Lonchura striata: one gene and its partner. The protein of the gene in region 1 purifies or fractionates together with the protein of each later gene. This does not show direct contact. Links are inferred from orthologs where the notes say so. Each region holds a gene or a part of one and is shown in the gene's direction. Other genes may lie near its edges. The genes, in order: AP1M2 and AP1G1.

Evidence for each region.
Region 2: the proteins of AP1M2 (region 1) and AP1G1 purify together in Homo sapiens (affinity purification with mass spectrometry; 4 studies listed by BioGRID and IntAct, counting the BioPlex papers as one, with this or other methods). This does not show direct contact. The link is inferred for Lonchura striata from reciprocal best matches to the Homo sapiens genes AP1M2 and AP1G1.

What each region holds. Positions count from the first base shown.
Region 1 is NC_134623.1:1,061,210-1,075,941, reverse strand, and holds the start of AP1M2 (AP-1 complex subunit mu-2), read left to right. Parts: upstream 1-9,388; 5' UTR 9,389-9,443; coding exon 9,444-9,485; intron 9,486-11,635; coding exon 11,636-11,792; intron 11,793-11,871; coding exon 11,872-11,939; intron 11,940-12,036; coding exon 12,037-12,167; intron 12,168-13,690; coding exon 13,691-13,838; intron 13,839-14,732. Other genes in the region: SLC44A2 (choline transporter-like protein 2), read right to left, coding at 1,043-1,127, 1,222-1,306, 1,433-1,506, 3,043-3,091, 6,394-6,430. UniProt on the Homo sapiens protein: Subunit of clathrin-associated adaptor protein complex 1 that plays a role in protein sorting in the trans-Golgi network (TGN) and endosomes.
Region 2 is NC_134615.1:23,777,100-23,791,887, forward strand, and holds the start of AP1G1 (AP-1 complex subunit gamma-1), read left to right. Parts: upstream 1-8,280; 5' UTR 8,281-8,393; intron 8,394-14,788. Other genes in the region: ATXN1L (ataxin-1-like), read right to left, coding at 4,781-6,847. UniProt on the Homo sapiens protein: Subunit of clathrin-associated adaptor protein complex 1 that plays a role in protein sorting in the late-Golgi/trans-Golgi network (TGN) and/or endosomes.

The sequences.
Region 1 (14,732 bases):
TCCGTGGGGATTCCGTGGGGGATTCCATGGGGATTCCACGGGGATTCCGTGGGGGATTCCATGGGGGATTCCGTGGGGAATTTGGGGAACGCCATGGCAGACCCAAATTCCATGGGGGATTCCGTGGGGGATTCCGTGGGGAATTCCGTGGGGGATTCCGTGGGGAATTCCGTGGGAATTCCGTGGGGAACACCATGGCAGACCCGAATTCCGTGGGGAATTCCATGGGGAATTTGGGGAACGCCATGGCAGACCCGAATTCCGTGGGGAATTCCGTGGGAAATTCCGTGGGGGATTCCATGGGGGATTCCGTGGGGATTCCGTGGGGATTCCGTGGGGATTCCGTGGGGATTCCGTGGGGGATTCCATGGGGAATTCCGTGGGGATTCCGTGGGGATTCCGTGGGGATTCCGTGGGGAATTCCATGGGGATTCCATGGGGGATTCCGTGGGGACTCCGTGGGGGATTCCGTGGGGATTCCACGGGGATTCCGTGGGGGATTCCATGGGGGATTCCGTGGGGAATTTGGGGAACGCCATGGCAGACCCGAATTCCGTGGGGAATTCCGTGGGGGATTCCGTGGGGATTCCGTGGGGATTCCGCGGGGATTCCGTGGGGGATTCCGTGGGGATTCCGTGGGGAATTTGGGGAATGCCATGGCAGACCCGAATTCCGTGGGGAATTCTGTGGGGGATTTGGGGAATGCCACAGTCCTGGGGAGTTGCAGGCCTGAATTCTGTGGGGAATTCCGTGGGGAATTTGGGGAACACCACGGCAGACCCGAATTCCATGGGGAATTCCGTGGGGAATTTGGGGAATTTTGGGAACACCACAGTCCTGGGGGGCCGCAGACCCGAATTCCATGGGGAATTCGCCGTGGTTTGGGTGGGCTGCAGGCCCGAATTCCATGGGAAATTTCGTGGGGAATTTGGGGAACGCCACAATCCGGGAGGGCTGCAGACCCGAATTCCGTGGGGAATTCTGGGGAATTTTGGGGAATTTGGGGAATTTGGGGAATTTTGGGAACGCCGCTGGGCCGTACCTGCGTGGTGGGGCACTGGAACTCCAGCAGCACCATCGGGCTGGCGCACTTGACGATGTCGAAGTAAAAAAGGAACGGTTTGTTCCTGCGAAACGAACCGAAACCGCCCGGTTTTTGGGGGAAAACCGCGAGGAATAATTTTATTTTTTTCCTTTTTTGGGGAGGGGTCCGGCTCTCACTCGTTGGGGGTCCCCTGCTGCCCGCAGAACTGCCCGCGGCTGTCCGTGGGGTGGATCACCTTGCGGGGGTCTCCGTGGGTCCAGGCTGGGGGGCGCAGGAGGGTGAGGCCGGGGTCAAGACCACCCCCCACCCACCCCAACCCCCCCACCCACCCACCCCCACCCCAACCTCTGCAGCCCCCAGACCCCTCCGGAGACCCCCAGGACCTACCCACGACGCCGACCACCACGTAGGCCACGATGGCCACCAGCAGCAGGACGCAGCAGACGACGTCGGTGCAGCCCCTGCGGCGGGGACAGCAAGGGGGGACCCTCGGTTGGGGACCCAGGATTTGGGGACCTTCGGTTGGGGACCCTCAGTTGGGGACCCTTGGTTGGGGACCCTCGGTTTGGGACCCTTGGTTGGGGACCCTCGGTTTGGGGACCCTCGGTTTGGGGAACCTGGATTTGGGACCCTCGGTTTGGGGAACCTGGATTTGGGGATCCTCAGTTTGGGGACCCTCGGTTTGGGGAATTTGATTTGGGGACCCTCGGTTGGGGACCCTCAGTTGGGGACCCTTGGTTGGGGACCCTCGGTTTGGGACCCTCGGTTTGGGGACCCTGGATTTGGGGATCCTGGATTTGGGGACCCTCGGTTTAGGACCCTCGGTTTGGGGAACCTGGATTTGGGGATCCTCGGTTTGGGACCCTCGGTTTGGGACCCTCGGTTTGGGGAATTTGATTTGGGGACCCTGGATTTGGGGATCCTGGATTTGGGGACCCTCGGTTTGGGGACCCTCGGTTTGGGGAATCTGATTTGGGGAATCTGATTTGGGGACCCTCGATTTGGGACCCTCGATTTGGGGAACCTTGGTTTGGGGAATTTGATTTGGGGATCCTGGATTTGGGGATCCTGGATTTGGGGACCCTCGGTTTGGGACCCTCGATTTGGGAACCCAGGATTTGGGGATCCTGGATTTGGGGACCCTCGGTTTGGGGAATTTGATTTGGGGAATTTGATTTGGGGATCCTGGATTTGGGGATCCTCGATTTGGGGACCCTCAGTTGGGGAATCTGATTTGGGGACCCTCGGTTTGGGGAATTTGATTTGGGGACCCTTGGTTTGGGACCCTCGGTTTGGGGACCCTCAGTTGGGGACCCTCGGTTGGGGACCCAGGATTTGGGGACCCTAATTTGGGGACCCTGGATTTGGGGACCCTGGATTTGGGGACCCTCGGTTTGGGGAATCTGATCTGGGGAACCTCGGTTTGGGACCCAGGATTTGGGGACCCTAATTGGGGATCCTGGATTTGGGGACCCTCGCTTTGGGGACCCTGGATTTGAGGACCCTTAATTTGGGGACCCTTAATTTGGGGAGGACCCAGGATTTGGGGAGGACCCAGGATTTGGGGACTCTGGATTTGGGGACCCTCAATTTGGGGACCCTCGGTTTGGGGACCCAGGATTTGGGAACCCAGGATTTGGGGAGGACCCTCGATTTGGGGACCCGGATTTGGGGACCCGGATTTGGGGACCCGGATTTGGGTGACCCTGGATTTGGGGTGACCCCGGATTTGGGGGATTCCCTGATTTGGGGTGACCCCGGATTTGGGGTGACCCCTGATTTGGGGTGCCCCCGGATTTGGGGTGACCCCGGATTTGGGGACCCGGATTTGGGGTGACCCCGGATTTGAGGACCCCGGATTTGGGGTGACCCCGGATTTGGGGGATCCCCAGATTTGGAGACCTGGATTTGGGGTGACCCCGGATTTGGGGTGACCCCGGATTGGGGGACCCGGATTTGGGGTGACCCCGGATTGGGGGGACGGGGGCTCTGCCCACCTGTCGTAGATGGGCCCTTTGAAGGTGGGGTCGTATTTCTGCGGCGTTCCTGCGGGGAGGAAGAGGAGCGGCCGTGGGGAAGGGCAGCGGCGGGAGGAAGGCTCTGCTCATCCTCCTCATCCTCCTCTTCATCCTCATCCTCATCCTCATCTTCCTCATCCTCCTCATCCTCCTCGTCCTCCTCATCCTCATCCTCCTCGTCCTCCTCATCCTCCTCATCCTCATCCTCCTCGTCCTCCTCATCCTCGTCCTCATCTTCCTCATCCTCCTCGTCCTCGTCCTCCTCCTCGTCCTCATCCTCTTCGTCCTCCTCATCCTCCTCGTCCTCCTCATCCTCATCCTCCTCGTCCTCCTCATCCTCCTCATCCTCATCTTCCTCATCCTCATCCTCCTCGTCCTCATCCTCCTCGTCCTCCTCATCCTCCTCATCCTCATCCTCCTCGTCCTCCTCATCCTCATCCTCATCTTCCTCATCCTCCTCATCCTCATCCTCCTCCTCCTCCTCGTCCTCCTCATCCACATCCTCATCCTCCTCTTCATCCTCCCCGTCGTCCTCATCCTCCTCCTCCTCCTCCTCCCACAGAAACACCCCAAACCCCACAGAAAAACGCCAAATCCAATGGAAAAACCCCAAATCCCAGGTAAGCACCCCAAATCCCAGGGAAAAACCCCGAATCCAAGCCCAAATCCAAGGGAAACACCCCAAATCCAACCCCAAATCCCATGGAAACACCCCAAATCCAAGGGAAACACCCCAAATCCCAGGGAAACACCCCAAATCCCACAGAAAAAACCCCAAATCCCAGGAAAACACCCCAAATCCCAGGGAAACACCCCAAATCCCAGGGAAACACCCCAAATCCCACGGAAAAAAACCCAAATCCCATAGAAACAACCCAAATCCAAGGGAAAAACCCCAAATCCCACCAGAAACACCCCGAATCCAAGGGAAACACCCCAAATCCCACCAGAAACACCCCAAATCCAATCACAAATGCCACAGAAAAACACCAAATCCCAGGGAAACACCCCAAATCCCAGGGAAACACCCCAAATCCCAGGGAAACACCCCAAATCCAACCCCCAATCCAATCTAAAAGCCCCAAATCCCATGGAAACACCCCAAATCCCACAGAAACACCCCAAATCCCACGGAAAAAACCCAAATCCCACAGAAATACCCCAAATCCCATGGAAGCACCCCAAATCCCATGGAAAAAACCCAAATCCCAGGGAAAAACCCCAAATCCCAGTGAACACCCCAAATCCCAGGGAAAAACCCCAAATCCTACGAAAACACCCCAAATCCCACCAGAAACACCCCAAATGCCGGGGATATTTTTGGGGGGGATCATTTGCTTTGGGATATTTTTGGGAGGGTTCATTTACTTCGGGATATTTTTGGGGTCTCGTTTCCTTTGGGATATTTTTGGGGTCTCCTTTGTTTTGGGATATTTTTGGGGGTTCATTTTCTTTGGGATATTTTTGGGGCCCCATTTTCTTTGGGATATTTTTGGGGCTCGTTTGTTTTGGGATATTTTTGGGGGTTCATTTTCTTCGGGATATTTTTGGGGTTCGTTTGTTTTGGGATATTTTTGGGGTCTCGTTTGTTTTGGGATATTTTTTGGGTCTCATTTACTTTGGGATATTTTTGAGGGTTCGTTTCCTTTGGGATATTTTTGGGGGTCTCATTTCCTTTGGGATATTTTTGAGGGTTCGTTTCCTTTGGGATATTTTTGGGGTCTCATTTAATTTGGGATATTTTTGGGGCCCCGTTTCCTTTGGGATATTTTTGGGGCCCCATTTTCTTTGGGATATTTTTGAGGGTTCATTTTCTTCGGGATATTTTTGGGGTCTCGTTTCCTTTGGGATATTTTTGGGGTCTCGTTTTCTTTGGGATATTTTTGGGGTCTCGTTTGTTTTGGGATATTTTTGGGGCCCCGTTTCCTTTGGGATATTTTTGGGGTTCGTTTGCTTCGGGATATTTTTGGGGTCTCATTTTCTTTGGGATATTTTTGGGGTTCGTTTGTTTTGGGATATTTTTGGGGTCTCATTTACTTTGGGATATTTTTGGGGTTCATTTTCTTCGGGATATTTTTGGGGTCTCATTTTCTTCGGGATATTTTTGGGGCCCCATTTTCTTCGGGATATTTTTGGGGTCTCATTTTCTTCGGGATATTTTTGGGGTCTCGTTTGTTTTGGGATATTTTTGGGGGTTCATTTTCTTCGGGATATTTTTGGGGGTTCGTTTCCTTTGGGATATTTTTGGGGGTTCATTTTCTTCGGGATATTTTTGGGGCTCGTTTGTTTTGGGATATTTTTGGGGTCTCGTTTCCTTTGGGATATTTTTGGGGTCTCGTTTACTTTGGGATATTTTTGGGGCCCCGTTTCCTTTGGGATATTTTTGGGGGTTCGTTTTCTTCGGGATATTTTTGGGGTCTCATTTTCTTCGGGATATTTTTGGGGCCCCATTTTCTTCGGGATATTTTTGGGGTCTCATTTTCTTCGGGATATTTTTGGGGTCTCGTTTGTTTTGGGATATTTTTGGGGGTTCATTTTCTTCGGGATATTTTTGGGGGTTCGTTTCCTTTGGGATATTTTTGGGGGTTCATTTTCTTCGGGATATTTTTGGGGCTCGTTTGTTTTGGGATATTTTTGGGGTCTCGTTTCCTTTGGGATATTTTTGGGGTCTCGTTTACTTTGGGATATTTTTGGGGCCCCGTTTCCTTTGGGATATTTTTGGGGGTTCGTTTTCTTCGGGATATTTTTGGGGTTTGTTTCCTTTGGGATATTTTTGGGGGTTCGTTTCCTTCGGGATATTTTTGGGGCCCCATTTTCTTTGGGATATTTTTGGGGGGGCTCCGTTTTCCGGGGGGCCGCTCTCCCCTCTCCGAACCCCCCGAACCCCCGGAACCGATCCCGGGCCAGCCCCGGGGCCGCCGCTCCCGGTGACGCCGCGGAACCGCCGGAGCCGGTTTTTATCCCGGCCGCGGCTGCCGGGCCGGTCCTGCGGTTACCGGGGAGCTTCACCCCAAAATCCCCCAAAAAACCCCCAAAAAACCAACCGCGGGCCCCCCAAAAAACCGCGGGGGGGGGGGGGCGCGGCCGATTTTACTTTCGCTTTTTATCTCCCGGTTTTCCGCCCGGTTTCGGTTCGTTTTTCCGCCTTTCCGTTTCTCTCCTCCCGCCGCCCGCCCGTAGGAACGCCCCAAAACCGCCGGTAACCCCCCAAAAAAACCCCCCGGACCCACCGGGAGCCCCGAACGGAGCCCCCCGACCCCCCAAAAAATTCCCCCGAGCTCCGGTCGCCGTTCCGACCCCCCCAAAATCCGCCGCCCCCGCCGCCGTTACCGTGTTTGCCGTAGTAGTTGTCCCCGTGTCCCCCCATCCCGGACCCGTTCCCGTTCCCGTTCCCGTTCGCACCGGGCTGGGCAGGGCTCAGGCGACCCCGCCCCAAAATCCGCCCTCCGGGGCACGAACGGGAGCCAAGCCCCGCCCCGGGAGCGGCGGAGCCCCGGTGCACCGGGGAGAGCGCGGAGGAGCGGGCACCGGCACCGGGGGGCAGCGGGGAGAGCTCCGGTCCCGGGGTTACCGAGAATTCACACACCGGGGCAAAGCGAGGAGCTCCGGTACCGGGGTTACCGGGAATTCAGACACTGGGGCAAAGCGAGGAGCTCCGGTCCCGGTACCGGGAAGCTCCGGGGTTACCGGGGGATTCAGACACGGGAGCAAACAGAGGAGCTCCGGTACCGGGAATCTCCGGGGTTACCGGGGGATTCTGGCACCGGGGCAAAGCGAGGAGCTCCGGTACCGGGGTTACCGGGAGATTCAGGCACCGGGGCAAAGCGAGGAGCTCCGGTCCCGGTACCGGGAAGCTCCGGGGTTACCGGGGGATTCAGACACGGGAGCAAACAGAGGAGCTCCGGTCCCGGGAATCTCCGGGGTTACCGGGGAATTCTGGCACCGGGGCAAACCGAGGAGCTCCGGTCCCGGGGTTACCGGGAATTCAGCCACCGGGGCAAACAGAGGAGCTCCGGTCCCGGTACCGGGAAGCTCCGGGGCGCGGTCCGGCCCCGCCAGACCCGGTCCGGAGGCCGGTACCGGGCGGGGAGTGTCCGGTCGGTGCCGGGAAAAGGGCGGCGGGCGGTGCCGGCTCCCCGCCGCCGTGACGCCGGTTCCAGCCCCGCCCCGGTTCTCGTGCGGTAAATAAATCACCGGGAGCGGCCGCCGGTGATGTCAGCACCGGGAACAAAGAGCGGGCCGGGAAAAACGGGGGGTCCCGCCGCTCGGGGGGCTCCGGTGCCCGCGGGGAGGGGCCCGGGGCTGCCTCCCGGGTCCCCTCCCTCCCTCCGGTACCGGAGCGGGCACCGGGGACACCGCCGGGACCCCGCCCGGGAGCCCGAGCCCCCCAAAATGGGGGTCACGAAATGGGGGTCCTGAAATGGGGGTCCTGAAATGGGGGTCACGAAATGGGAGTCACGAAATGGGGGTCCTGAAATGGGGGTCCTGAAATGGGGGACACGAAATGGGGGTCCTGAAATGGGGTCACGAAATGGGGGACCCGAAATGGGGTCCTGAAATGGGGGTCACGAAATGGGGGACACGAAATGGGGGTCACGAAATGGGGGTCACCAAAATGGGGGTCACAAAATGGGGGTCACGAAATGGGGGTCACGAAATGGGGGTCACGAAATGGGGGTCACGAAATGGGGGTCCTGAAATGGGGGTCACGAAATGGGGGACACGAAATGGGGGTCACGAAATGGGGGTCCTGAAATGGGGGTCACCAAAATGGGGGTCACGAATTGGGGGTCCTGAAATGGGGGACACGAAATGGGGGTCCTGAAATGGGGGTCACGAAATGGGGGTCACGAAATGGGGGTCCTGAAATGGGGGTCACGAAATGGGGGTCCTGAAATGGGGGTCTCGAAATGGGGGTCCCGAAATGGGGGTCACGAATTGGGGGTCACGAATTGGGGTCTCCAAATGGGGGTCCCGAAATGGGGGTCACGAAATGGGGGTCACGAAATGGGGGTCCTGAAATGGGGGACCCGAAATGGGGGTCACGAAATGGGGGTCCCGAAATGGGGGTCCTGAAATGGGGGTCACGAAATGGGGGTCACCAAAATGGGGTCGCCAAAATGGGGGTTCCAAAACGGGGTCCCCAAACGCGGGGGTCCCCAAAATGGGGGTCTCCAAACGTGGGGGTCTCCAAGGGTGGGGGTCCCCAAATCCGGGGGTCCCCAAAATGGGGGTTCCAAAACGGGGTCTCCAAACGCGGGGGTCACCAAAATGGGGGTCCCCAAAACGGGGGTCCCCAAAATGGGGTCACCAAAATGGGGGTCCCCAAAACGGGGGTCCCCAAAATGGGGTCACCAAAATGGGGGTCCCCAAAACGGGGGTCCCCAAAATGGGGTCACCAAAATGGGGGTCCCCAAAACGGGGGTCCCCAAGGGGGGGGGGTCCCCAAAACTGGGTTCCCCAAAACGGGGATTCCCCAAAATGGGGGTCCCGAAGCCGGGGGTCCCAACCCCGGGGGTTCGGGGGGACCCCCGGGCGGGGCGCGGGGCGGATGCTCGGTACCGTAATCGCCGTCCGGGTCCCTCCTGCCCGCGGGCCGGTCCATGGCGGCTCTGGGCGGCTCCTCCGGTAGCACCGGAGCCCCCCCGGTATCCCCGGTATCCCCGGTACCCCCGGGCTGTGCCTGCGGGCGGGGCGGCTCCGGGCCCGGCCCTCAGCACCGATCCGCCCCCGGGGCCGGGCCCGGGCCCGTCCCGCCCCTCCCGGGGCTCCGGTGGGACCGGAGGATGCGGGGGGGGGGGTGCGGGAATTGGAAGGTGCCCGAAGGGAATTGGGGGGTCTGGGGGCTTTTGGGGGGGTCACGCAGAGTGGGGGATGTCGGCATGGAGACCCCCACCCCGGAGGGGAGGATGTGGGGGTGCAGCGATCCCCCTCCCGTGGGGGTCACCCGTGGGGGGGGGGTCTGGGGGTGCAGGGACCACCCAAGGTGGGGGGTCTGATGGAGACCCCTCATGGGTGGGGGGCACAGGGGGTCTGGGGGGGCTGCAGCGACCCCCAGGGTGGGGAATCCAGCCATCAGAAGCTGCGGGGACACCCCCCCCCCCCCCAAAAAAGGAAATTTTGGGGGCGCAGAGACCCCCTCCCCACCGTGGGGCACGCGGGGGTCCCAAACCCACCTTTGGGTGTCACCCCACGCCCCCCACCCCAAAACGGAGGGGTGGGGCTGGGGGTGGCCGTGGAGTGGGCGAGGTTGGGGGGTCTCCCCCCAGCAGGGGAGGGGGTGAGACCCCCGGTGTGGGGAGAGGGGCGGGGCCGTCCCCTTTAAGGCGCGGCCGCGCACCTGGGCAGGTGACGGTGCCGGAGGTGACGGCGCGGGAGCCATGGCCGCCTCCGCCCTCTTCATCCTGGACCTCAAGGGGAAGGTGAGACCCCCCGACAGACCCCCAAAACCCGCCGGGGGTCGCCCCGCTGTCCCCTCTGTCCCTAAAGGTCAGCTGAGGTCAGTGGTGGATTTTGGGGAGGGGGTTTCTCCACTGTGACCCCCTCCCCACACTCACCACGACCACCCCAAACCCTAACGTGGGTGGGGGTCTCCCCTCTGTTGGGGCTGGGGGTCTCCCCACTGGGGTACCCTCTGTCCTTATCAGTGGCCGTGACCCCGTGGATTTTGGGGAGGGGGTTTCTCCACCTGTGACCCCCTCCCCACACCCACCACGACCACCCCAAACCCTACCGTGGGTGGGGGTCTCCCCTCTGTTGGGTCTGGGGGTCTCCCCACTGGGGTCCCCTCTGTCCCTAAAGGTCAGCCAAGGTCAGTGGTGGTGACCCCCCCTGTGACCCCGTGGATTTTGGGGAGGGGGTTTCTCCACTGTGACCCCCTCCCCACACCCACCACGACCACCCTACTTGGGGTGGGGGTCTCCCCACTGTCCCCTCTGTCCCTGAAGGTCAGCCAAGGTCAGTGGTGGTGACCCCCCCATGACCCCGTGGATTTTGGGGATTTTGGGGAGGGGGTTTCTCCACTGTGACCCCCTCCCCACACCGCCACGACCACCCCAAACCCTAACGTGGGTGGGGGTCTCCCCTCTGCCCGGGCTGGGGGTCTCCCCACTGGGGTCCCCTCTGTCCCTAAAGGTCAGCCAAGGTCAGTGGTGGTGACCCCCCCCCCGTGACCCCGTGGATTTTGGGGAGGGGGTTTCTCCACGTGTGACCCCCTCCCCACACCCACCACGACCACCCTACTTGGGGTGGGGGTCTCCCCACTGTCCTCTCTGTCCCTAAAGGTCAGCCAAGGTCAGTGGTGGTGACCCCCCCGTGACCCCGTGGATTTTGGGGATTTTGGGGAGGGGGTTTCTCCACTGTGACCCCCTCCCCACACCCCCACGACCACCCCAAACCCTAATGTGGGTGGGGGTCTCCCCTCTGTTGGGGCTGGGGGTCTCCCCACTGGGGTCCCCTCTGTCCCTAAAGGTCAGCCAAGGTCAGTGGTGGTGACCCCCCCCGTGACCCCGTGGATTTTGGGGAGGGGGTTTCTCCACCTGTGACCCCCTCCCCACACCCACCACGACCACCCTACTTGGGGTGGGGGTCTCCCCACTGTCCCCTCTGTCCCTGAAGGTCAGCCAAGGTCAGTGGTGGTGACCCCCCCATGACCCCGTGGATTTTGGGGATTTTGGGGAGGGGGTTTCTCCACTGTGACCCCCTCCCCACACCGCCACGACCACCCCAAACCCTAACGTGGGTGGGGGTCTCCCCTCTGCCCGGGCTGGGGGTCTCCCCACTGGGGTCCCCTCTGTCCCTAAAGGTCAGCCAAGGTCAGTGGTGGTGACCCCCCCCCCGTGACCCCGTGGATTTTGGGGAGGGGGTTTCTCCACGTGTGACCCCCTCCCCACACCCACCACGACCACCCTACTTGGGGTGGGGGTCTCCCCACTGTCCTCTCTGTCCCTAAAGGTCAGCCAAGGTCAGTGGTGGTGACCCCCCCGTGACCCCGTGGATTTTGGGGATTTTGGGGAGGGGGTTTCTCCACTGTGACCCCCTCCCCACACCCCCACGACCACCCCAAACCCTAATGTGGGTGGGGGTCTCCCCTCTGTTGGGGCTGGGGGTCTCCCCACTGGGGTCCCCTCTGTCCCTAAAGGTCAGCCAAGGTCAGTGGTGGTGACCCCCCCCGTGACCCCGTGGATTTTGGGGAGGGGGTTTCTCCACCTGTGACCCCCTCCCCACACCCACCACGACCACCCTACTTGGGGTGGGGGTCTCCCCACTGTCCCCTCTGTCCCTGAAGGTCAGCCAAGGTCAGTGGTGGTGACCCCCCCGTGACCCCGTGGATTTTGGGGATTTTGGGGAGGGGGTTTCTCCACTGTGACCCCTCCCCACACCCCCACGACCACCCCAAACCCTACTTGGGGTGGGGGTCTCCCCTCTGTTGGGGCTGGGGTCTCCCCACTGCCCCCTCTGCCCTTCTCAGTGACCGTGACCCCCCCCCCGACCCCGAGGCGTGCCGAGCAACTTGGGGAGAGGGGAAATTGGGGTGGGGGTCCCCATTTCTGACCCCCCGGCCGCCCCGCAGCCGCTGATCAGCCGCAGCTACAAGGGGGACGTGGGGCTGGGGGACATCGAGAACTTCCTGGGGGTCCTGCAGCAGCGCGAGGAGGAGGGGACGCTGACGCCCGTCCTCCCCTGCGGCCACCTCCACTTCCTGTGGATCAAACACGCCAACCTCTACCGTATCCTTCCGGGACCCCCTCCCCAAAATCACCCCGGGACCCCTCCCCAGCCTCGGGTTTTTCCTTAAGCCCACCTCAGTGGTGGCCACCACCAAGAAGAACGGCAACGCCTCCTTGGTCTTCTCCTTCCTCTACAAGGTGGTGGAGGTGAGCTGGGGAGGGGTCTCGGGTGGGTCTGGGGGTGAGGACCACCCTAATTTAGGGTTTTCCCCGCACCCCGGGGTGCTGGGACCCCCTCCCCAAGGTGTTCTGCGAGTACTTCAAGGAGCTGGAGGAGGAGAGCGTCCGCGACAACTTCGTCATCGTCTACGAGCTGCTGGACGAGCTGATGGACTTCGGCTTCCCGCAGACCACGGACAGCAAGATCCTGCAGGAGTGAGCGTGGGGAGGGGGCCACGGGATCCCCTTCCCACCCCGCTGCCCCTTCCCACCCCAATTCCCATCCCTTTCCCACCCCAATCCTCGTTCCCACCCCAATTCCCATCCCTATCCCACCCCAATCTCCATCCCTATCCCACCCCAATCCTCGTTCCCACCCCAATTCCCATCCCCTTCCCACCCCAATCCTTGTTCCCACCCCAATTCCCATCCCCTTCCCACCCCAATCCTTGTTCCCACCCCAATTCCCATCCCCTTCCCACCCCAATCCTCGTTCCCACCCCAATTCCCATCCCCTTCCCACCCCAATCCTTGTTCCCACCCCAATTCCCATCCCCTTCCCACCCCAATCCTCGTTCCCACCCCAATCTCCATCCCCTTCCCACCCCAATTCCCATCCCTATCCCACCCCAATCCTCGTTCCCATCCCAATCCTCATTCCCACCCCAATTCCCATCCCTATCCCACCCCAATCCTCGTTCCCATCCCAATCCTCATTCCCACCCCAATTCCCATCCCTATCGCACCCCAATCCTCGTTCCCACCCCAATCCTCATTCCCACCCCAATCCCCATCCCTTTCCCACCCCAATCCTCCTTCCCACCCCAATCCTCATCCCCTTCCCACCCCGCTGCCCCTTCCCACCCCAATTCCCATTCCTTTCCCACCCCAATCCTCATTCCCACCCCAATCCTCATTCCCACCCCAATCCTCATCCCCTTCCCACCCCGCTGCCCGTTCCCACCCCAATTCCTATTCCTTTCCCACCCCAATCTCCATCCCCTTCCCAGCCCAATCCTCATTCCCACCCCAATCCTCGTTCCCACCCGAATCCCCATCCCCTTCCCACCCCACTGCCCGTTCCCACCCCAATCCCCATCCCCTTCCCACCCCAATTCCCTTTTCCACCCCAATCCCTATCCCATTCCCACCCCACTGCCTGTTCCCACCCCAATATCCATCCCTGTTCCCACCCCAACCCTCCTTTCCCACCCCAATCCTCATTCCCACCCCAATCCTCATTCCCACCCCAATATCCATCCCCTTCCAATCACAATCCCCATCTCCATCCCTATCCCAATCCCCATCCCTTTCCCCGCCATCCCCATCCTCATTTTCACCCCAATCCTCATTCCCACCCCAATCTCCATCCCCTTCCCACCCCAATCTCCATCCCTATCCCAATCCCCATCCCTTTCCCAATCCCCATCCCTTTCCCTGCCATCCCCATCCTCATTTCCACTTTAATCCTCTTTCCCACCCCAATATCCATCCCCTTTTCCACCTCAATCCCCATCCCCTTCCCACCCCAACCCTCATTCCCACCCCAATCCTCATTCCCACCCCAATCTCCATCCCTATCCCAATCCCCATCCCTTTCCCCACCATCCCCATCCTCATTTTCACCCCAATCCTCGTTCCCACCCCAATCTCCATCCCCTTCCCACCCCAATCTCCATCCCTATCCCATTCCCCATCTTTTCCCACCCCAATCCCCCTCCCCACCGCCCCCTCCCCAGGTACATCACGCAGGAGGGGAAGCGGCTGGAGGCGGGCGGGGGGCGCGTGCCCAGCACGGTGACCAACGCCGTGTCCTGGCGCTCCGAGGGCATCTGCCACAAGAAGAACGAGGTGTTCATCGACGTGGTGGAGGCCGTCAACCTGCTGGTGAGGGGCACGGGGGCACCGGGGGTACTGGGGGAACTGGGGGAACTGGGGGGACTGGGGGCACAAGAAGAACGAGGTGTTCATCGACGTGGTGGAGGCCGTCAACCTGCTGGTGAGGGGCACGGGGGGTACTGGGGGAACTGGGGGGACTGGGGGGACTGGGGGAACTGGGGGGACTGGGGGGACTGGGGACACAAGAAGAACGAGGTGTTCGTCGATGTGGTGGAGGCCGTCAACCTGCTGGTGAGGGGCACCGGGGGTACTGGGAGGACTGGGGGGACTGGGGGAACTGGGGGAACTGGGGGGACTGGGGGAACTGGGGGAACTGGGGGGACTGGGGGAACTGGGGGAACTGGGGGGACTGGGGGCATGGGGGGCACTGAGGGTACTGGGGGTACTGGGGGGAACTGGGAGGACTGGGGGTACTGGGGGTATTGGGGGTACTGGGGGGACTGGGGATATGGGGGGGGGAAAGGGAGCAAAATTGGGGTGGGAATGAGGATTGGAATGGGAAGGGGATAGGGATTGGGGTGGGAATGAAGATTGGGTGGGAAAGGAATGGGAATTGGGGTGGGAATGAGGATTGGGGTGGGATAGGGAGCAAAATTGGGGTGGGAATGAGGATTGGGGTGGAAATGAGGATTGGGGTGGGAAAGAGATGAGGATTGGGGTGGGAATGAGGATTAGGATGAGAATGTGGATTGGGATGGGAAGGGGATGTGAATTGGGGTGGGAACAAGGATTGGGGTGGGAAAAGAATGGGGATTGGGGTGGGATAGGGAGGGGGATTGGGGTGGGAATGAGGTTTGGGGTGGGAATGAGGATTGGGGTGGAATAGGGAGCAAGACTGGGGTGGGAATGAGGATTGGGATGGAAAAGGAATGGGAATTGGGG
Region 2 (14,788 bases), on another chromosome or scaffold:
TTCTGTGATCTCTCCCTTTTATCTTCACTTGTGTTCATTTGATACTCAAACCCCCAGGTTGCTTCTGGCAGTATCTGCTTTTGCTCTGCCTCATGTTTTTGCTCTCCCAGCACGGATGTACCTTTACTCTCCAACCTGCAGCTGGAACTTTCCTTGTATTGTCACTGACACCTTATCTTTATTCCAAGGGGTTCAGGAGAGACCACATAACACAAAAGTATCTGAAAACACAGAATTATGACTTATAATCCATCTTCCACCCTGTATCTTGCCTTTGACATGAGTCTCCAGATCACTGTGTAAATCCAGAGAAGCCACATGCTAATGACCACTGATACTGCACACAAGCAAAAAGTCTCAAACACCAAAGGAAAAGCTATTGGTTTATATATAGATATATATATATGTATATAGATATATACTGTGTTTACAGAGTCAACAAGTTAAATGCAATATTCATAAAAGCATTAACAATAAAAATACAATTTGTTTGTAGGCAAGTACAGACTTAAAATGGTAAAACAGGAAAAAGGATCTCACCAAAGTACAAATATACAGTACAAATTGATTTATTTAAAACAGTTACAAAAAAAGCACAACAAAATAGAGATTATCCTTAGAATTATTAATGCTTTGTTAAAGATCAGGTAGGAGGAAAGGGGCAGGGACAAAGTTGGAGGGGAGCACCTGACTAGTTCTAAGGCTTTAGATACACTGCATCGGTTACATGTTAATACAGCCATATACTGGGGGATATAGTGAGGGGTCAGCACTTATCTACAAACATCTCTCTGCCTCAGGGCAGCCCAGCCAGCTCCCCCATGTTTCTCTCTCTCTCTGAGCACACCCTCCCTGGTGCTAAGGTGCCATGAAAGCCAAAAACAACTCGAGTGTGCCAGGGGTGTGTTGGCAGGGTGGGTGGCAGCAGCCCAGGACCTATGGGGCAATTCTGTCCTTGACAGTGTGAAGGCCATGGGACGGCCTGGACCATCAGCGTTTTAAACTGTATGTGGAACACCCTGGGCCAAACTCTACAGGATGTATATTTGTAGCTATCTTAGCAGCTTCTGACAAGTGTCAGGCTCTAGCACAGCTTGAAAGATAGGGAGCAGTTGTGAGTGATGCTGGGGAAGGCACGTATGCTGCTGCAGGCAGGAACTAGCATTTGGGCTACTCCAGCTGCTGTAGTTTCTTTTACAATATTTTCTGAGTAACAAGGATTGTTAGTTCTCTATAGGACAAAGTGACTTGAAGTGTGGGGTGGGGACAGGGACACAACGTGAAAAGTGCAATATAAAAAGCTGCTCAGCAGCTGGAAGGAGAAGGCAGAGGGACCTCTGCAGCTTCCTTCCCTTCCAGACAGAGCTTCCTCTGCATAGTCTGGTAGTGATGAGCGCTCATTGCTGTGAATGCACAGCCCAGAGACAGGCCTTGCTCTGCTGTGCAGCTAACCTGAGGCATGTTCCATGGGATGGGACAGATGGCTACAGACACCCACTATTGCATCCCATGGATTCCTGCTACAGAGCATGAGCTGGATAAGATTAGGGCCTCCTCCAGGCAGGACCACAGCTCTCCTACCCTAGACAATAGCAGCAGGAACGTGGTATATTTCTCTGAGAAGTCTGTCACATCTCTACCAGCAGAAAAGCCCAGGTAACCATCCTACTCTGCAGTGTCTTCCTGGCTTTATCTCCTCTCCCTGTAAACCCGAGAAATAAAAGCCTCCTCCATCGTTCATTCACAGCCTTTCTCACTGCAGCAGAGCCTGTCTCACATACTCCCTGTCCCACATATTGCCTGTCCCAGGAGAGCCTCAGTGCTCAGCACAACCACCACTATGGTGCTCAGCCATACAGCCCTGTCCAGTAAGAACAGGTTCCTGTGATACCAGTACTGCTGAGCTTGGCTGGAGAGTTGTCAGTGGCCCCCTCCTGTCCACCCTTTGGGGCAAACAGCCAGACACACAGATTCTTAATCTCAGTCCCCTGTCATGAGCTGTGCTTCAAACCACTGCTTCCAGGGAAGAGCTGGCAGCCGAAACACAGCAGCAGGACTGACAGGAGTCTGGATAAAAGCACCAAGGTCTAGTTCACCACGGCTTGTTCCACAGAGCTCAGGACTGCACCCAACAGAGGTGCAGCAAGCCAGAGTCCAGATCAGCAGCCAGGTAGACAACAGGGCAAGCACCTTCACAGTTCTTCACGTGCCTACAGCACAAAGCTATTTAAGTCACACAGCATCTTGCCTCATTTGTCAATACTGCCCATTCAGACTACTGCACAGTGCAGCTGAGATTGAGGAGTTACAGTAACACACATGGTGTTAAGGCAAGCTCTCCAAACCCTTACTCTAAGACAAACTTCGGGGTTCAGAGATAGTCAAGGGGCTCTGCACTACCAGTTGCTCAGACACTGCCTCTATGGTGTAACCAGCCCTTCTACATTCACAAGCCCTATGTATGCGAGATCCCTTTCTCAAGTGCCTGTTGAAGCCCTGAATCCTTCTGCATGCACTGTCCATAGAACAGGCATGAGAACCCAGGCTCCTCTGCCTCCTGCCTTTGGCCATGGACACCTCAGATATCCTGAATATTAAGTACTAATTACTAACATTAATGGAGTTTTACATAGGAGAGTCCCAGTCAGCAGGAGCTGTGACACCCCCAGGTGATGATGGGGCCCAGGTGGAGACTTCACTGGGGTTGTGAAACTTTCACAGGGTTGTGAAAACAGCATAGTTTCCTATAGGTCCTGCACCTGAGGAGGCAGAATCTTCACACAACAGCATCACTGTGACATCCCAAATGCAGCTGATGAAACCAGAAGTAGTGTGTCATTTGGGACAGCATCCTCATTCCAGAGAACCCTGTGAGGCACAAACACTGAGGGCATAATTAGCACATATCTCACCTAAGGCCTGTCCTGGTGCAGGCATTTTAAAGGCAGCAGAAATGGCTAGTAATATGCTAAGAAAACAGGACTGAGGCCGGGATGGAAGGGACATTCTGAAGACTAACTTGCCTAATACACAGATGCATCCATTGCACAGTCAGCAGAAGCAAACCAGTTACAGGACACACTCCTGGGGAGTGCAGAACAGCCCTGAGACAGCACCACTGCAAGGGGAGGTGCTGACACACACCATTCTGTGACAGAGAGGAGTGGCACCCCAAGAGTCAGGCACACTTGACAAATTTCAGGCAGATGAGAGCAGGGAGATAGGAACAGCATGCTGAACATCAGGACTCTGCGTACTAAGAAAGCCCCCTCCAAAGCCTGGTCCTAGCACAGAGATGGGCACCTCAACACAAGGAATACTCAACCCAGGTTAAGTCAGTGAAAACCATTTTCTTACCAGAACAGTGACTATTCTTTATCCTAGCTGAGCAATGGTGTCATAACACCATCAGAGAGGGCAAATTAGTGTAACTACAGGAGCCTTCACTCAATAGAGTGTTACCACCACAATCAGCTGTTCATACACAACTGTATTAAATTTCACCATGAAAAAAACTACTCTTGATTTGATTACATTGTTCTACAGAGGAACTCTGAAGTGAAGCATCAGAAAAACTAACACAAAATGACCCCAAAATGCCCTGTGACACTATGATATTTCTAGAGTCCGTACATTAATCATAGAATTGTACTTAGCACAAATTTTGTACCTTGTCTGCATGTGCACAAACACTTCGTCTCTTGTATAGAGCTTATTCAAGAAACTGCCTGCAGGGAAGAACTAGCCATCTGGAACATTTTTCTGACTTAATAACAAAATAGCATTGGTCTTCTCACAGAAGAAGGATGTTTTCAACCTTCTCTAGAGAATGTTGAATGTATTTTGCTCCAGATTAAAAAAAAAAAAAAAAAAAAAAAAACAAACCAAACCAATAAAATATCCAAAATCAAAATTTGACCAAACAAAAAAATCCAACCCCATTCATCCCTCGGTTAACCTCTGCAAAAGCTATAAGCCCAGGAGGGTTTTTTGGAAGTTATTAACATAGGAAGAAAGATTTGATTTGGTGGCAAAACAACTAAGTAGAGTTTACAGCAGGAAACAATGTCTCCCATCCCAACTTGTGTCCCATCTCAAGTGCTCAAGTTCCCTATTCACCTGCACCCAAGCCCATCCTTTTGGTCCTTCCTCTTGAATTTATGTGATTCATTCAAATCTGTACATTCTTTGCAAGAAGAAAGAGTAGTTGGATTCAGTGGAAGAGACATTAATCAGAACCACCAGAGAAGCACCTCCATCCTGCCCTTGAGAGCTCCATCGGTGAACGGTCCTTTTAAAGTGCATGTGTGAAGAAAGGGGATGCTGGGAGTAGAGCCCCCAAACTCCAGGGGGGACCCATATCTCCCCATCATGAGAAAGGAGAAATAAAATCTTCAGCAATTTTATCTGCTACCTTAAGACAAGTCTGCCCTCCTCATCTCCCTACCTGCCCCAAATGCTCAGCCCCTGCCCCGCAGGGAGTCAGTTATCCCAGGAAGTGGGAGAAAGCCCCAGCCTCCAGCAGCCTGTGGAATGCTCTCATCACACACTCATGACCACATCCCTGCTCCCCACCCCAGCTAGCCTGTCGCTGCTCCCTGAGGCACTGAAGGCCTCCTGACTCCCCAGGAGCAACTGGTCAGCCATGGAACTGGAATGGAGCTATTCCTGCAAGGCAGAAAGCAGCCTTTGTTGGTGAGCCTCTGACAGTCTGTGCAATTCCTCTACCTGATGGTGAGGCTCGCTTGCTGTGGCTGCCCTAGCTCACACCTCTAAGGGATCATTTCCCTGCATTCGAACGCCCTTCAATAGACAGCTTGACCTCCTGGGGAATGAAAGAGGGACGGAGCAGAGAGGGCCGAGGCTCCTCTGCCTGCACGCTGTATCTTTGGAAGCCTGGGGCCAAACTGTACAGATTGCCAGCCTCAGACTGAGAAGATTCTGCATGGGAGCTCTGAGCCGTGCTGGTTCTATCTGTGTGGCTCTTCCTTTCACCAGCTCTGTCACATGGCTCTCTGGGCCCCTGGGCTGTTCGTTCCAATCTCTCCCTAGCAGATACCAGCTGATCCATGAGAGGGGAGTTGGCCTGAGAAGCAGAGTTGCCATTCATGCTCTGTAAACTGATTGATATGCATACATCCCCCACTTGCAGCCTGTGACAGGGTAAAGCAAAGAGCTGAGCAGTCCTCCCGGGGCTGCAGGAGGACCAGCCCTGGCCATACACAAAGAAGGGATGCTCCGGGGGCACATCAATGCTCACTTTACTTTGTTGCTCCCCAACCACAAAATGCAGTGTGACAAGCCCAGGCCACTGGCTTTCCTGAATATCCACCACAGTGCTGGAGTCGATCTTCAGGCCTCCACTCACCTCCGCACTGCGAACAAAGTCTTGAGTCTGCAGGTCCTCCACCCGCTTCAGCTCTCCCGTCGCCAGCTGGATGATGGCTCCTTTCATGAAGTGAGAGGGCAGTTGTGAGGAACTGGGTGGCTGCAACTGGGCCAGCTCCTTTTCAAGCACATATCCTCGAGCCTGTGCATCTGGGCTTTCCCTCAGCAGGACTTCTGAAGTGGAAGACCTGACGGGCTCAGATCCAACGGGAACAAGTACTGGCTTGCCATTGGCTATCACCATTCCTTTGGCTAACTGTCTCTGTCTAGCAGTCTCTTCGGGGGACATTCCACATGGGCTCTGGGACTGGCTGTTCCCAGCTGCAGCCCTATCTGTGGTGTTCCTCAGCATGTCTCCCTGCCCATCAGTGGTATTATGGCAAAGATTTAAAGGGCTTGGGTCATCTTTCCTCTGGGCTGCCAGAACATGATAATCCTGAGATGCCAACACCCCCACCACTCTCTGAACCTCCAGATCAGCGTCTGGGGTGCTCCTGTGAGTAGGCACAGAGATCTCTCTTCCCAGCATCTGGTGACCTGGAAGGAACTGTCCATCACCCATAGATCCTGCTGCAGCCCCTGGGGGCAGACAGTCCTCAGCTGCACTGCTGGCAGAGTCCACAGCCTCGTTGGGCCTCCTGGCCACACTTTGCTCCAGGGGCCTCTGCCCACCATTGGCCGCAGCCACCTCTGAGCTCAGCTGACTGTCTTGCTGAGGAGAGTCTGGGTTCCCACCTGCTACAGGTGCCTCATAGGCTGAATAGCCTGGTGGGAGGCGGGACATCTGATAATAAACAGGAATCCTCCCCGGTGGCATGTCCACTGGTTGGGACGCAGTGTGGTGCTGCATCTGCCCAGGAGAGGCTGCAGAGGTGGATTTGTTGAAGCTGTGGGTAGGAGAGGTAGTCTGGGAGGAAGGAGCAGCTTCTTCTGTGAACAGGGAGGCATATGGAACAAAGTGGGGGACATGGGGGGCACTGAGGTTTGTGGAAGGAGACAGGAGAGGACTAGGCATGAAGGCAGGAGGGACGGCATAGGGCACTGTGTAGGGGGAACCAATGAGCTGCAGGGAAGCCGAAGGGATCTGTGCATAGTGGATGGAGGGGAAGGGCACCGCCGGGTGCTGGATGATGGGCGAGGTCACGCTGAAGGCTGGGGGCAGGGGGCTCACGTTCACCACGGGGTGCAGGCCCGTGGGGGAGAAGGTGGCAGGCGGTGCTGCCACTTTGTAGAGCATCCCGTATTGGTCCACCGTCAGCCCCGCTGCTGCCTCGGGGGCCTCGCCGGGACCGTAGCGCGGTGTGGCGGGAGCCGGGCGAGCCGTGCGAGCCCACTCGGGGCCCGAGCCCGAGCCCTGGGCTCCCCCGGCCCGTCCCGCCTCGGTGCCAGTGTTGGCGGCGGCAAGTTCTCGCTTCTTGGGCGGGAGACACTCCTGGCTGCGCTCCTGGCCCGCTCTCATGGCGCCCTGCGGTGTCCCGGCAGCCCCGGCCGCGCCGCTCGTTCATGGGGGCACCCACTGGGGTTGCCACGCGCGGGCTCCGGGATCCGCGCCGCCGGCCGCCGCCTCACCTGTGCCGGGAACAGAGGGAGCCGTGAGTCCAGGCCTCGGGAAGGGGAGGTGGCCCGAACCCCGGCCCCGGGAACGGCCACGGCGACGGCCGCTGGCCCCGGTGCGGGACGCGAGGACGGAAGACGCCCGAGCCCGGTCGCCGCCCCCAACCCCGGCCCCAAAACCGCGGCCGCGCTACCGCGCACCCCGCCCCGTAGCGTCCTGCGGGCCCGCCTGGTGCTCGCCCGGTGCCCGCGGCTCACCCGCCATGGCCCGGACCGGCCCCGCGGGCTCGCCCGGTGCCCGCCCGGTACCCGCGGCTCACCCGCCATGGCCTGGACCGGCCCCGCGGGCTCGCCCGGTTCCCGCCCGGTGCCCGCCCGGTGCCCGTGGCTCACCCGCCATGGCCTGGACCGGCCCCGCGGGCCCGCCCGGCGCCCGGACCGGCTCCTCCCCGCCCGTGGCGCACGGCGATGACGCGTCTCATGGCAATGACGCGCACGCCGAACGCCGGAACTGCTCGGTAGGCGTGGCTCCGCCGCGCCGGATGGCGTCCCGGGGCACGCGCAGCGCCGTTGCCGTGGCAACCAGCCGCGTCCGCCCGGAGCTGAGCTCGACCCGCGAGCCGCGCCCGCCCGGCCCCAGCGCAGGCGCCTGGCGGCAGCGCCGCGCGGCTGTTGTTGGCCCCGCGCCCCGGACCGGATCGCTCCGCGGTTGGCTGGCAGCGAGGGCCCAGCGGCAGCGTGGCCCGGCTCCCCTGCAGGAGCCTTCGGTCTGAACGTGCCCGTGCCCTGTCTCGCACCCCCGCAGTGTCCAGCTGGCCCCGTGCTGCCGACCGGGCTCCGCGGGGGCAGCTACTCGTCATTCGATAATCGTTAATGTGGCATAAGGTCCTGGAAGCGGGAACAGAATAGCTGCCTGGGGCGGGGGTGGCTCTGTATCCCCTTCCAGAGCTGCCTCGTTTCCTGCGGCGCCCTGCGTTCACCCCGCCGCCGCTGGACGTTTCAACAGTGCAAGGTTCGGCGAACTGGGAGCGGCTTGGCCCCTCGGAACCCCTCGATCCCGGAACCGCGGACACGGGCGGCGGGTCCCGCCCGGCCCCGGCATGGGGAGCGCGCGTGCCGGGACCGCCCCGCGCATGACGTCATCAGGGAATGCCACGGTGCAGACGCAAGTTTTCGTATAAGACCTCACGGGTGCTTCCGCCAAGAAAAGTAGTGCAAGCGGTATTTTCGGTCCCGCCACCGCCTCTACTGTACCACACTCTCGCCATCCCCGCCCCGTTCCCGCCGAACTCGGCGCGGCCGCGCTCGCACCCGCGGTCGGCAGAGCCTGCGGAGTCGCGGGGAGCGAGTCGGCCTGGATCCCTCCGCCTGCGGTATCGGTGCTGCGGCCGCGCCGCCGCCATTTTGAATGCCCGGCTCTATCCGCCGCCACCGCTGCAGGGACCGGCCTGGTGAGTGGGACCGGCTCGGGTCTTTGCTGCCCCGCCGGGCTTCCCCTGACCTCCGGGTCTCGCCGCCTGGGGCCTGCGAGTCCTGGGGCCTCTCTCCGCCCCGAGCTCCGCCGCTGGGCCTCGGCTGCTCTGTCCGCGAGGCCGCCCCCTGCCCTCCCGCCGCCTCTGTCGGCGCCGCTGTCTCTGCCTGGCGCTCCGGCCCGCTTCCAACTCTCCCCTGCGCCCCGGGGCCTCCTGCTCGGGTGTGGGAGCGGTCCGTGCGTGCCCTAGCCATTCTTTGCCGGAGAGACGGCGGTGCAGCCCTGCCTCGGCCCCCGTGCCCGGAGGTCGGGCAGCGGCAGCAGTAGCGCGTACCTCAAGAGCGGTTCGTGCTGTGGCCCGCTGCCGTCCTGGCAGAAGTCGGGACTTGTGCTCGGCCTTCCCCTCGCTATATGATTGCCTAGGCTGCACAAGCGCTCCGAATATTGCAGCGTCTGCATTACTTCCCGGTTATGGGTTTTAATGGAAGCAGGAGATTTTCGGTCTGGCTCAAGGTATTTGCAGTGAGCTGCTATGGCCGGTCTCTAAGGGCGCCTTCAAGTCCCTTCTTCAAGGCTGGCTGAGCTCTCGCACGAGCTATAAGATAAATTGTAGTTTATTTTATAGTAGACACTGTTTTTAAAGTTAACAGATGGAACAGGTGTGTGTTTTATTGTGTTGAAAGTGATGTGTAAAAATGTTGAGCGACAAATTTCAGTTTCTGATGCTTGAAATATTAATGGGACAGTGCAGAATCCCAGTGGAAGATCTTTGAAAGGTTAACAGTGTCACATGTGTGGCCAAAAGGTGTTTGGTCCATAGTGGCTTAAACAGTAAAATATAGTGTGTTTTCCCCTGTAAATGCAGGGGAATCTTTTAGGGATGCTCCTAGCATCCTACATTTAAAATGGCAGAGAAATTTGTGCTGTTTTGTTTCCCTGTTGTTTTTTTGTGTAGTAGAGCACAATAGCTTTTTGTACCCATTTCCCTGCTACCTCTCCTCTAAACTACACTTGGGATTTTTTTCCTTTGTTTGTTTGTATATCAAATTCTTGTCATTTGTTGCCAGATTCTTTCATCTGTTTACTTGTGTGCTCTCTGGTGTTTGGCACAGGATTTGAAAACTTGAGTACTTGTTGGGTATTCAAGAGCTGAATGAAGGCAGGAGATTTTGTGGGTTTTTTTCTGAGGAGGTTGGTGTGAACCCTTCCATTCTACTGTGCTGGGAGAAGGAGAGGAAAGGTATTAAAATTCCTGTTTCTTGAGAAGGGAAAAGTAAGTCTTGGGTTATTGTTTTGTGAGGGGATCCAGCTTTTGTGTTTCCAGTGTGTAGGATAGCTTTCATATTTTCTCCCTTTATGATTAAAAAAAAAACATTTTCTTCCTTTTTTGTTGTTTTTCTTTTCTGTTCCTGTGACTGCTGATGTGTTTTTCTGAGAGTGGCACGGTAGAGATGGAAAGATCGTGTAGTACCTTTGAAGTGTCCCGTGAGAGATTAGGGGATAACAGAAATGCTCTGATTGTTGGTGTAGTGCGTTTTGCAGTGGCCTCGCTGTGCATGAGATTAGTGAGTCTGTCAGGCCATGGTGTGAGAAGGTTGTGGACAGTGCACAGGAGTCCAAACTGGCTGTTCTCAGGCACACAGAGCCCACCCTAGTTAGCGCAGTTCAGGTTTGGAGCATCAGCTTTCCAAGTGTGTGGGCTCGTGTAAATCTTTACTGCTGCTAAAAGTGATGGCAGTCAGTAAAGCTGCTTGTGCCTCTCCAGAGTGAATATTTGTATTTGTGAGCTGGCCCTGTAGAACTGCAGGCCATGGGTTGTGTGATCTCATCACATTTTTTAATGATAGAACAATTTCTTCTGAATGCAGGTGATGCTAATTTGTCCTAGATGATACTCAGCTGTTCTTTGGGGAGAGGGTCTGTTCTGCTATGGTAAGAGCATTAGTTTACTGGAGGAGCATTTTGGAGTTAATAAGTAAATGTATGATCAGGCTGTAACTTAAAAAACAGAGCTACAGTAATGTGAGTACAAGTGAATCTGCTGATATCACAGGTATTAGTGCAGCCTGTATCTGCTATTTGGCAGAAATGCTACAAGTGAAATAAAAGATTAGAACTTTTTAGAGAACAGCTGAAGTTATGTGGCCTGTTGTAAAGTTCATATTAATTAATGTAAAAATCTTGTCTTTCCTCTGGCATTAGCAAGGACCTAGAAGGGTGTAGGGGTTTTTGTGACAAACTAGTGGCTTTTTAAAATTATTATTATTTAAAGTTTAACTCTGCAGGAAAGTGAACAGGAAGTAAAATAGCCAGAGTAGTTCACAGATTAAATTAAGGGGAAATTAGAAGCAGTTGATAAGATAATGTAGGTCAGTGGTGATTGAAGAAGCCAGAAAATCTTGAATTCTTCTTGAATCTGTCATGGTGATCAGCTGTATAGCTGTGCTAATTCTTCTTCCTACATTTTTTACCTTCTTAAAAAAATAGGGTGATATTTCTCTTCTTTTTTGGCAGTTGTTGAGGTTAATGTTTGTACTGACTGGGAGCTCAGTGTGAAGGCAGCTCAGGAGTTGCTGCGTTTGGTGTATGTGCACAGTTGTGCAGGAATGGGATACCTTATCTAAAGTGCTGACTTGTGCTCTGGGGCCATGCCTCAGTCAGCAGGGAGTGGGAAGGGGTCTGTAGTTGTTTGGCAGTGGGATTGGGTGGGATCTGTGCAATGTCCTCAGCCTCTGTCCTGCCTCTCCTCTTCCTCTCAACTCTTGAGTAGCACTGAGCCTTGCTTTTTAAATAATGTTGTGCTGCATTCCTTGTTGGTGGTTTGTTTTTTTTTTTTTCAATGTAACTGGAAGTGGGACCATCTCTTCAGGACTGTTTTTAGCTCTTGTTTTGGGATACTTTTTTTCTTATTTGACCTCCCCTGCTCTTCTCCAGCTGTCTCTGCATAAAGCAAAGTGTAACTCTAATGCCTTTTCTTATGTGACTGCATTTTTTAAGCCCCCTGCTGACTTAATTGCTTTGTGATTTTCTGATGTTGCTTTCTAGTTCTCTATTGCATTCAATAGCTTTTTCCTGACAAGAGATTGTCCCACTTAGCTAGCATGTTATGTTGTTGATTACTCTTTCTCTCAACTCCTTTGTGTTGCCTTTGCCCTTCTTAATGATGATGGTGCTTCTTCCTTTGGTGTTTATTGTATAAATAGTTATAATAATTTAATATTTACTGTTATCTGTATAAATATTGCTAATACTAGACCATATACTAATATCTCTGCATTTGTTGACACCCTCATCTCTACTTGGAGAGTATGTTTCTGGTTTTATTGCTAACATATTTTTCTTTTTAAGTGTCTGATAGAAGTGGGAAGTCTACTGATGGCAGTGTGTAGTTGAAGCCATCAGTGTTGGGTGTCAACACTGCAATTACTCCTTTCATGGAGTCTGGACAGATCCTCTGCTCTTGTGTGTACTCGGCTGGATTCAGTTGCACCTCAGCAAGTAGGGGAGTTCTGCTGCTGATTTCATTTGGGAGTTTGGCTGTTTGGCTTTAGTTGTGTAACTTCCCAAAAGCTGGGGTTGCTTGAGGAGTGTGATTACTTATGCATTGTTGGGGTGGAGCAACTGGAGTTGTGTGTTTTAGATGTGTTTGAAGTGCTTCAGGCTTGGGGTGTTTTCTAGACAGAACCAAATTCAGAAATGCAATTTACGTGAAAAGCTGTAACTTGGTGCGTATATCACCACAACTGAAAATTCAGACCATTTCCCCAAACAGTAGATCTCTTCTGTGAATAATTTCATTAATTTTGATGGCCTTTATGTCTTAACATTTCCGGAATTTAAGGCTAAATAATAATGGAATGTTAAAATGTTAGATGTCTGATAATTTGTCCTAATGAAGTTTTAAAACAATTGTTATTTTTTAAAGTTTTATTGTCTTAGAAACGCATTAGATAGTTTAGGCATAAGCTAACATTCCTGAATAGTTTCCAGAGGACATCTTCTCAACTCAGTGTTTAAGGACTATCCTTTGTCTTTATTCTGCAATTCCTGATAGAGGAATAAAGCTTAACTAAAGCACTTGATGATTTAAGGTGGGTTTTGGTAATATTAGGTGTGTGTTGTAAATATAAAAGATGGCCTATTATATTTGAATGTGATTGTATTCTAAGAGAGACTTCTAGTAAAGTTCTATACTGAAATATTTTTGGTACAATGGCCTGTTGAATAAAATCTTTAACTTTCAAACATAATAAGCTTTACTAGTAACAGACCATAAAAGAGGAGAAAACAGTGATTTATCAGTACAATGTAAATGAAAATGAAATGGTTTAATACATAAAGATTTTTGCGGTTTTGTTTTTTTTCACTTTTGTATAGTAGCGATGAGTTACACAAAGAAAGAGAATGCCTTTTTATTAGTTCATGGGAAGGATTCCTGAACAGCAGAGGAATGAGGATCGCTGAGGTGACACCTTTTCTAGTCTCTGGATTTTAGGAAAGAAGCTGGAATTCTGTGTCCTAAGGAACTTAAACACCGGCCACCTATACAACCTGAGCTAATCTGAATTCAGTCTCCGATTCTTTCAGAAGTTTTGATCTTGATAGTATGTTCTTCTAAGGAGCAAGGCTTTCAAAATTAGAAGAGGGAAAGAGGTCTTATAAGGTTGAAAAACTCTGTGTGCAACACTACCAGATATTGTAAATATTAACTAGTAGGCTCTTTCAAGTATTCAGAAATTATCCCTGATTTTTGGTGCTCGTAGTTAGCAAAGAAATGGCTGAAGGAAACCCCTGTTTTCAACTGAAGGAGGAAATAGGTAACAACGTCTACAAACTGCCTTGTCATTTATGTTGATGTGCAAAGAATAAAAGGATGTGTTTGTACCGGTGAAAAATGTTAACTAATCTTGAAGAACAAGATTTGCTACTTAGGAGGAAGTTCTAAGGAGCGCTTAGGCACCAGCTGAAGCTCCACTGTCTGCTATTGCTAGAAGATACAGTTATCCTCCCATTGTTGCAGTAAAGATCTGTTGCATTATAATAGGCTTAGGAATTGCTGAGACTAGGTAAACGTTAATCTCTTCTGTAATGTTTCTGAATTTAAGCATTCTCATGTCCAAAGTTTCTTCTCATCTGTAGTAGCTACAGCTTACACTTGAAAAGTCTGAAACTCAAAACTGTGATGAGATTTCCAATATATTAGCATGCAGAAGAATGTTAAAGTCACTGAAGGCAAAGAACAGGTACCTGACACAAGAATTTTTGATATTAAGAGAACATAGATGGGTGCAAAATCTTTTGTATGGGATGGATTCAAAGGTATAGTAAAAGCTGAATGATTTGATATTGACTAAAAAAAGGATGTAGTTTCAGCACAAGGCTAGAAATGCCTTTTCTGAATACTGGAAAATAAATTACAGCTCTGTCTTTTGTCCTTTTGTAATCCTCCATCAGAGCAGTTCTGAATTTTTCTGTTCTCATCAGGCACAAAGTATGCGTGTGAGATACAGTTGCTCTTAGTCCTTCAGGTTAGACTATGTAACTGTGTTATTTGTTACACAAGTGAGAACAGCAGGAAGCCTCAGAAAATGTTTCTTGAGTCTTGCCCATCAATCCTTCCTTTCTAAAGTGCTGGTTCTGCTTGCTTTCCTGTGTTTGTGAAGTGAGGAGGAAAAATAATCTTTACAGTGTGCTTTGCTAATTCTTTATTTATGCAAGGGCATTTGTAAATACTGACTATTCACTTTTTTCAGTATCTGAATGATGTTAGATCTTCAGTTTGTTGTCATTGTACCTGCCTTCTGCCTTCTTGGCGAGACAGGAAGTCCTGTCTAAACGCTGGAGAAAGATGAAAAAAAAAAGTATTCATAAAAATTTGTACTTCACATATATAGTAGCACTGTTGAATTCTGTTTTTCCATTGACCAGAACTGTTTAGGCAGTCTTTCCTTTTATTTTCTCTTGTCTGGGGTCAAGCTTAAGATGCTGAAGCCTTCCATGGGCATACCTACAGAAAGATTTTGATCCACTGGCAAGGAAAGGAGTGGGCTTGTACAAGTCACAGGCTGCATATATCAGCCTTCAGCAGTTTATAAACCTTCAGATATAGAGTGAGAACAAAACAGCTTGTGGTATCAAAACAATTTGTTGGCAAATCTCAGTTTGTTTGCAGGTTATGTATTAGTGTTTCAAAAACTTTGTAAAGAACCCTTCCTTTAAAATAAAGGAGTTGGCCATGGTTGTAGTAGCTAGACTAGTAGTAGCCACTGCTTATCTTCTCAGGAGCAGCAGTGTTGTAGATAAGCTTAATTAGGCTGCAGAGGCATAGCCTAAGTGTTGATTCCTGCTGGAGTGAACCTTTCACCTTTTTTCCAG